Ovis aries: one gene and its partner. The protein of the gene in region 2 binds, or shares a complex with, the protein of the main gene of each other region. Links are inferred from orthologs where the notes say so. Each region holds a gene or a part of one and is shown on either strand. Other genes may lie near its edges. The genes, in order: ARHGAP35 and RASA1.

Region 1 (3,805 bases), on a different chromosome or scaffold from region 2:
ACTTCCTCATTCCCAGGTGTGCAAACAGCCCCCCAATTAGAAGACTGCCAGCATTTCGCTAAGCTGTGCTGGCAACAGTCTTCCCCGGGAGGAGGAGAGGAAAGTCACAGCGTTCAAAATGTTTGGATTCCAGGATCATCACACAGGAGAGCTCCGGGGAAACACTGGCAGGCTGCTCAGGCTACTTTCTGTCTTCTGAAATAACAACTGCTTTCCACTGGCCTGCCCACTACCAGCTTTTAGAGAACAAAAAACTGATGGCAGATGAAGGTTGGCAAAAGTAAAAGCAAAGCATGGGGAGAGCACACAGAAGAATGTCCACGTTATTTATCAACTTTCAGCGCAGAACGGGAGGGGAACAGAACGCACAACGCTACTGCCCTGGCCCTCTGACGCTCAACAGGCCAGAGGGCTCTGGAAGCTCTGGCCAGGGCGACAGAGGAGCAGGCTGTGCGCTCTCCGGGAACAGGCAGGGTGTGGACAGGCTTTCCCTGTGAGGGCCACGGCACCACGCTCCTCCGTCTCCAAGGGCCCTCTCAGCCAATATGAGCTGCAGAACTGGCCACCAGACAGCATTCTACATCAGAACTGTCAGCTCTCAAAACAGCCTGGACTCAAGAGCCCTCTGGTTTGGTCTATCTTGCAATGATGAAAGTTTGGGACAACCTTTCTTCCAAAGCTCCCTGAAACACTTTCAGATACGTGACTTTGTTCTCTGCCATTTCACAGCAGGGAGAGGAGCAAAAGCTTTCAATGAAGAGATACCATCCTGTACACCAGCGGTCCCCAACCTTTTTGGCACCAGGGACTGATTTTGTGTAAGATAATTTTTCCACGGACTGGGAAGGAGGTGGAGATGGTTTCCAGATGATTCACGCACATTACCGTTAGGGTGCACTTTATTTCTAATCCAATGTCGCCGCAGATCTGACGGGAGGTACCAGCTGGCAGCCTGGACACTGGGACCCCTGCATACACAGTGCTGGCGGAGGGCCTGTGTGTAAGAGTTCTGTTGTGGTGTCTCACTGACATGCCTCCTCTGAGAAATAAAGGCTGTTTCCCCTACTCTAACTGGAGGGACAAATAAAGTTGGGAAATGTCAAGCCCACGAGGACAGAGCGCACCGCCCTCTACACTGCACTTCCGCCTGCCGCTGCGCTGGGGGCTGTTTCCTCTGCATCCGGCAGCAGGTCAACCTTTCCCCCTTTCCGCCCCACCTGTGGTCCCTGAATCAAATCTGCAAGTAGTAGCAACTCACTTGAAGAGCTGGAGGGCACTTTGATTTTACAAACATGAGACAGGTTTATAACCTGCAGAGGCAAGATTATTTTTCATTTATGTAACTGAAGACCTTTCAATGATTTACATGCACAAATAAAATAATCATCCAATTTTTCCCTACCTAAAATGCAGCAACCTTTACAGATCATCAAGGGGGAAAAGGAGTATTTAAGAGATGCATGGATGAAATGTTCCTTCCTCAGTCAAAGACTAAGGACCGTGATGCTGGATTCCGGTGTTTCAGTGAAGAAAGGCCGGTTGTCACCGGCTTGGCTGCTTGTCCGGATACTGACAAGTTCTACGTGATCTGCCCATTTCAGTAATTACCTAACTACTGTTTTGGACAGACTTCTCAGGTTCTCTCTCCAAAAAGTCCTTACCACTTGAGAGCTACCAGTAGTAGCTTTCCGAGACACTCTTTACTTACTTTTTTCCAACTTTTTATTTTGTATTGGGACATAGCCAGTTAGCAACGCTGCGATACTTTCAGGTGAACGAGGAAGAAACTCAGCCGCATATACACATGCACCCATTCTTCCCCAAACTCCCCTTCCATCCAGGACGCCACGCAACCTTAAGCAGAGTTCCACGCGCTGCACCGGAATCCTTGTTAGTGATCCGTGTTAAACAGAGCTGTGTGCATGTGTAGATCCCAAGCTCCCTAAATACCCCTTCTATTCTCCAACCGTGAGCTCCTTCCCTGCATCTGTCTCTGTTTCGTAAGTTCATTCGTATCATTTCAACACTGCTTACTTTTTAAGGCAAGTCAAGGAGGAAACACACACAGAGCGGTTTTTAACCAGGCTAAGCTGTCCTTGAAAATCTTTTGTCATCATCAATGAACTCTCCCCAAGACACTGTGCAAGTCACTCCAAGAGCTCTAAAGTCATGTCTTACCTTAGTGTTTCTTCTTAGACTGCGAAGAATATTCCTCCTCCTCGGGTCTTCGTCGGTCTCATATGGAATGACGGCGTTGTCTCCTTTATAACCCTGGGATGCCTGATCCTCCTCTTTCTTTCGGATGGGCCCAAGCTCGTCATCACTCCCCACGCTGAAGCTGGTTCGGTAACTGGCAAACCTCCCCAGCCGGCTGCATCTCGTCCTGTACAGCACTGGCTTGCTCACGATGGATACCTTGCGGCCCCGCTCCAAGGAGCTGGTGTCCATCTCGCTGTCGGAACCATTCCCACTGCCGTTGGACTGGGCTTTGTTGATGTTCCGAATGGTGATGATCTTGCCCTGTGTGCTGTCATGGGGCACCGAGTATATGTTTTCTTCTTCGTTCCTTGGCTTGACCACAGCGTCCATCGGTTCAGCATAATCAGAAGGATCGAACCCATCTGGAGGTAGCCAGGTGCTCGACGAGACGGACTTCCTCTGTCCATCTCTATGGCCCTGGTCTAGGTAAGACAGATCCCCCTTGGTGATTTCAAAATGGACAGGAGGCTTTGGTTTGACTGGCGGAGGTACCTTGTTGTTCAGTTTACTCTCAAAGTTGCTCATGATGAAGGACAGCCCATCATTTCCCTCCAGTTCCATAGAGAGCTTGGAATGGTCTTTGGACAGAGGCGGCAGCGGTGTGTCTTCTCGAAACACGCTGTACGACGGGGTCTCGATGTCCTCCTCTGAGTCCTGCAGGTTGGAGTTGCAGAGTGGGGAGCCTGCCCGGGGGGAGTTAAACACCTCTTCGGTGGTGCTGCAGGCCTCAGCAGCATTGTCGTACATATGCGTAGCCTCAATGATGTTCTTTTTGTCCACCACATCTTTAAAAAAGGGGTGGAAGATCTCAAGTTTATGCTGGGGTTGGCTACAGGGGATACTCGTGAACCTCCCGTCAATTTCTTGAGCTATCTCCTCCCCCTCGGTCAGCTGCTCCCGACTTAAGTCATTATCCAGGACATCTACAGCGCCGTCAGTGAGTGCAACCAGCTGAATGGGGATAATATCCTGCACTTCACAGAGAAAGGCACGTAACATAGCCAAGGAGGCCTTACGTTTGGCTGAGTAAAAAACAATGTACCCATGGACCAATCGGCTTTTTCGGATGCTAAATGAGGAATGGTATGAAAGGATAGACAGTTCGATGCGCTTCTTGTGTAGTCCGATTGGGAGTTCAAGTAAAACAGAGTTGTTGCTTCCACAGTGGGAAGACTTACAGGTCTGGGACTGAAGGACGGGAAAGAGTATGTCGTCTGCACTAAAAGGATCCCCACACATCAGACACATGACAATCCGCAGGTCGACGTCAGCCAGGTCTTTGATGCTAGCGGTGGAACTGACCAGGTTTAAGTTACGCTTGGAGTCCAGGAGACCTTTCAAAACCTGACTGATCTGCTTCTCGTTGATGTTGCGCCCATAACCGATGCCAGCGGAAGCAGGGTCGAGAAAGACACACTGAAGTTTGCTAGCAATCTGCTGACCCTGCTGTATTAAGCTGTGCAGGGTCTCTCCACTGGTGTCTCCTCTTTTGTTAACTAAAATTAAAGTCAGGGGGAGATGGGCTAAGTGATTATCTCGCCGGCCA
Region 2 (4,439 bases):
TTTGCGCAAAAAAGTGCAGATTAGCGTTGTCTGGGGACCTCTCCTCTCCACACCTTATTATACCCAACAGACTTGCAGTGGCAAAGGTAGTGTATGTGGGTGTGAAAGAAAGGGAAAAGAAAGAAAAATAGAATACAGAGAGAGTCGGAGAAGACAACAAAACGCGTACAGTCACAGAAATCCGACTCACAACCACTGTTTCTTCTAAAATTCTTAGCCCTCCCCATATGTCTCCCCAGTTATCCATTTCGTTCTGAGTCTTCAGTTCAGCTGCTCAGTCGTGTCTGACTCTTTGCGACCCCCATGAATCGCAGCACGCCAGGCCTCCCTGTCTATCACCAACTACGGAGTTAACCCAAACTCTTGTCCATCGAGCCGGTGATGCCATCCAGCCATCTCATCCTCTGTCGTCTCCTTCTCCTCTTGCCCCCAATCCCTCCCAGCATCAGGGTCTTTTCCAATGAGTGAACTCTTCGCATGAGTCTTAGAATCTATTAAAAAAATTTTCATTTTATTTTTTTTAGCTTGAAATAGTCATATAGTCATTTATATAATGAAAAGAGAACGGAAACACTAACAGGACTCTCTCGGACCTCCAGGCAGGTACCCCTCCAACTGCCACCCCCGCGGGCCTCGGCCGTCGGGTTTCTGCGCCGCCGGCCACGGCGTCCGCTCTACCGGTCGGGAAGCGAGGAACTGGCTTTGCCTCATCTCCCCTTCTCTTTCCCTCCCTCTTCAAGAAACCCTCCTCGTCGCTCACAGGTTTTTACCCCGCTGAGCGGCCGCGTGCCGGGGACCCACTCCTCCCCTCCGCCGCCTAACCCGTCTCTCAGACAAAGCCCAGTCAGGCAGGCGCGCGCCACCGGCCACACCGACCGGCGAGGCGGCCGCGCCGCCACGCGCTTCCCCACTGGCTCGGGACTGCTAGCTTGGCCGCGCCTCCACGCGCTCCCCTCGGCTCGGGACAGCGAGCGCTGCCGCACACCGCGCGTCCCCGCCGCTTCCTTCCCTCCAGAGTCTTCCTTTCCCTCCTCCAGACCCAGCACGCCACACCCCCACCCCAACCCACCGCCTCCGCGCGGGGAGTGCGCCTGCGCAGAAGCTGCCCTCTCGCCCCTCCTTCCCCGCCCTTCCTTCCCTCCGCCCCTCCTCCCGCGCCCCGCCTTCCTTTCTCTCGTCGATGTCACTTAGCGCTCCAGGTTGGGAGCCTTTAGGTTGATTTCCCCGCTACCCCGCCCCCCTTCCTCTTTTTCTCCCCACCCCTCCCGCCTCAGCCCGGTGGAGGATGAGGCGGCCGCAGTGGCCCCAGCCCCTGCAGCGGCACCGGCGGTGGTTGCGGTGGGGGTGGCCGGAACTGGGGTGGTGAAGAAGCGGTGGCGGCGGCGGCGGCTGAGGGAGCAGCAGCCGCCTCAAGCCGCTTTCCCCCCCGCCTCGCTTCCCTTCCTCTTTAGTGCAGCCAGGAAGTTTTTCGCTTCTGTGCATGTGTGTGTGTGTGTGAGTGTGCGCGCGCGCGCGAGTGTGGGTGTGGAAGGTGAAGGTTTGGGCGGCGTTTGTGCAGGCGTTGGGGTTTTTTGCCCACTTCTCTTCCCGTAACCCGGGGAGCTCCCGAACCTGGGCTGTGGCCCGGAGAGGGGGCGCGGCGGCAGCGGGCTCTCTCCTTTTGTTGTTGTTTCCTCCGCCCGGGGAGCTGAAGAGGGGACGCGCCTGGGTGGGGCGGCTCGGAGCCCGGGCCTGGTGGCCCCTGGGGGCTCCCGGGCGGGCAGGGTAGGGCCGCGTAAAGCGGGCTTCAACATGATGGCGGCCGAGGCCGGCGGTGAGGAGGGCGGCCCGGTCACCGCCGGGGCAGCGGGAGGCGGCGCGGCCGCGGCCTCGGGTGCCTACCCGGCGGTGTGTCGGGTGAAGATCCCCGCGGCCCTGCCCGTGGCCGCCGCCGCCCCCTTTCCTGGGCTGGCGGAGGCCGGCGTGGCCGCGACTCTGGGTGGCGGAGCCGCTCTGGGGTCAGGCTTCCTGGGACCTGGGTCTGTGGCGGGGGCCCCGGGGGGAGCCGGACTGTCAGCCGGAGGCGCTGCCGCCGGCGTGGCTGGTGTCGCCGCCGCCGCCGCCGCCGCCGCCGCCGGACCCGGCGGGGAGATGGCTGAAGCCAAAGGGACCACTTCGTTGCCCACTGAGACCTTCGGGGCCGGCGGCGGATTCCCTCCTCTGCCGCCGCCTCCTCCTCAGTTGCCCCCTTTGGGCGCTGGCCTGGGAACAGTGGACGAAGGTGACTCTCTGGATGGACCAGAATACGAGGAGGAAGAGGTGGCCATCCCGCTGACCGCTCCTCCGACTAACCAGTAAGTCAAGACCGGCGTTTTGGGGGAAGCTGACTCCTTGGAAAGAAATAGGAAAAACAGGTCTAGTTCTTTTCAGCTGTGACTCGTAGTGCTTTCAGCTGTGACTCGTGTTTTCAGCTGTGACTCGTTCAGAAAAAGTTCTGAAGCTCAAGGTTCCGTGCGTACGGATTTAATTTGATCACTCATCCTCCCTACAGGCACACTCCCTGGCGTCTTGGTATATTTATTGCTCCTCTGGGAAGATGTAAAGTTTTCAAGATGGGAAGCATGGGAAAATGTGTATCCAGGGAGAACCGGATATGGTTCTGTCCCTTGCAGATTGAGGTGGCGTCCTGGGATTCAGCTGAGTTTGCAGCTACCGAGGCAGTCGTAGTCTGTATTAACCTGGTTGCATTCCCTGTTGAAGCTAGACAATTAGTGAGAAGCTTTGAATATTTGAGTGAATATCGTGGTAGTATTGTTTGAAACGTGCCTTGGTCGGATTGCTTTGTTTTTGTTGCCCTGCAATTCCCGGCTTCTGGCTGTTGAAAGCACTGCGATGCAGAAAAGACTTTGGATTGCTTTTGAGAACGTGGGTCAGCGAGAAAGGAAAGTTCTGTTAATTACTGGTGTGGTTAAGGGCCTGTACTCCCACAGTATTTAACATGTGCAGTAGAATTCCCGTTTACTAATATGCTAGTATAATTCTTCTGTAAGTTGAAACTTTGTAAGTACAGTATTGAACTAGAATTAATATTGTGCTTCCCTTCACCTTTTGTTGGTGGCAAATACAGTATTCTATTTGAAAATTAATTTTGACAGTCTTCTGCAGAATATACAGGACAAATGACTTACATATATATATAGTACTTTCTCCCTTGTTCTCTTCATAAGTGAACTTAGGTTTGGATCTTGAGAGGAACATGTTGATGGGCAGTAGGCAAAACTTGTTTTATAGATCCCTCATATCTGTCTTAATTGTCCTTTAGAATTTTGACAACCTTGGTGAGGTATCAGAGGAAGAAAGATTTGATTCCTGTGTTGACCATCACTCTAGACAGTTGAAGGTGTTTTTTGTGTCTGTTTTTTTTTTTTCTTTTCTTTTTTTGGATAAGCTTCTTTAGAAAATTTAGAAAGGACTTAACAAATTAGGGCATTTTTGACTTAAGGCTACATACATCTTTTGATGGAAAAGTAAAGTTAATCTTATGTCAGCCATGGGACAGGGGAGTTTTATTCTTTTTATATTGTTCATCATGAGTTCAATTTTTTGTCTAATTTAATTTCTGCTTATCATTTCTTATCTACATATTGCAGACTTCTCTGAAGGTGTTCTGAAAGTATTAAAAATTCAAAATTTACAGCTCTGTTTACACATCTTCAAGCCTTTTTCAAAACTACTTAAGTATTAAGGGCCCTGTGGTTATGATAAAGTTCAGCTTTTCATAATGAAAGAATATAGTCTTATGTTAGTTCTTAACTAAATTGAATAAGGCATATTTAGTGTGTTGCAGTTCTAAATTTTTTTAAAAATAGAATTTATTTGTTAGAGCAGTTTTAGGTTCACCGTAGAAGTGAACAGAAAACACAGTGTTCCAATTAAATTTTTAATAAATATAAATGAGAACCTAAGAAAAATTATTCTTGTGAGAAATCCATTGTAAGATTTTCATCATTTGTGTTTGGGAATAAAAATATTATTTGTGTAACTCTGTATATGAGAATTGTTCATGTTCTAAAAAGTATCCTCCATTTCACTATAGTTTTTAAAAGTTGCCAACGAGAAGTACAAATTTCCCTCTCTTCTTTATCTTAGATATCAACCCAGACTTACTGGAGGCAATACAGTGTAGGGGTTAAGGTGCAAAATCTGAAGTTAGACAAGATTTGGGTTGGAATCCTGACTCTGCTACTTACTAGCTGTATGATCTTGCAAAGGTCAGGTTCCCCATCTGTAAAATGGGGTAATAATGCTATCGCCCTCATATGATACTTTTTAAGGTTAATGAGAAATCCCTGAATGTATTCAGCACAGTAACTCATACGTAGTAAGTGTTCAGTAAATTGGCTCAAATAGTACATAATTTTATCATTAAATTGCTTGTCAATTCTATAGGAACTCCCATG

What was found.
Region 1: the proteins of RASA1 (region 2) and ARHGAP35 are in contact, whole or in part, in a crystal structure (PDB 8DGQ), measured with the Homo sapiens proteins. The link is inferred for Ovis aries from reciprocal best matches to the Homo sapiens genes RASA1 and ARHGAP35. Residues at the interface, in NP_002881.1 of Homo sapiens: Arg188, Arg207, Ser209, Arg211, Val217, Asn228, His229, Phe230, Arg231, Ile241, Gly242, Tyr256, Leu262, Leu263, Lys264, Lys358, Ser379, Asp380, Asn381, Ser387, Gln397, Arg398, Phe399, Lys400, Met411, Gly412, Gly413, Arg414, His425, Tyr426; in NP_004482.4 of Homo sapiens: Ser1085, Asp1086, Tyr1087, Ala1088, Glu1089, Pro1090, Met1091, Asp1092, Ala1093, Val1094, Val1095, Arg1098, Glu1100, Asn1103, Ile1104, Tyr1105, Ser1106, Val1107, Pro1108, His1109.

Annotation. Positions count from the first base shown.
Region 1 is NC_056067.1:53,759,721-53,763,525, reverse strand, and holds part of ARHGAP35 (rho GTPase-activating protein 35), read right to left. Parts: coding exon 2,179-3,805; coding exon of another isoform or gene 2,086-2,178; exon of another isoform or gene 1,720-2,085; intron 1-1,719.
Region 2 is NC_056058.1:84,551,705-84,556,143, forward strand, and holds the start of RASA1 (ras GTPase-activating protein 1), read left to right. Parts: upstream 1-1,596; 5' UTR 1,597-1,791; coding exon 1,792-2,333; intron 2,334-4,439. UniProt on the Homo sapiens protein: Inhibitory regulator of the Ras-cyclic AMP pathway. Stimulates the GTPase of normal but not oncogenic Ras p21; this stimulation may be further increased in the presence of NCK1.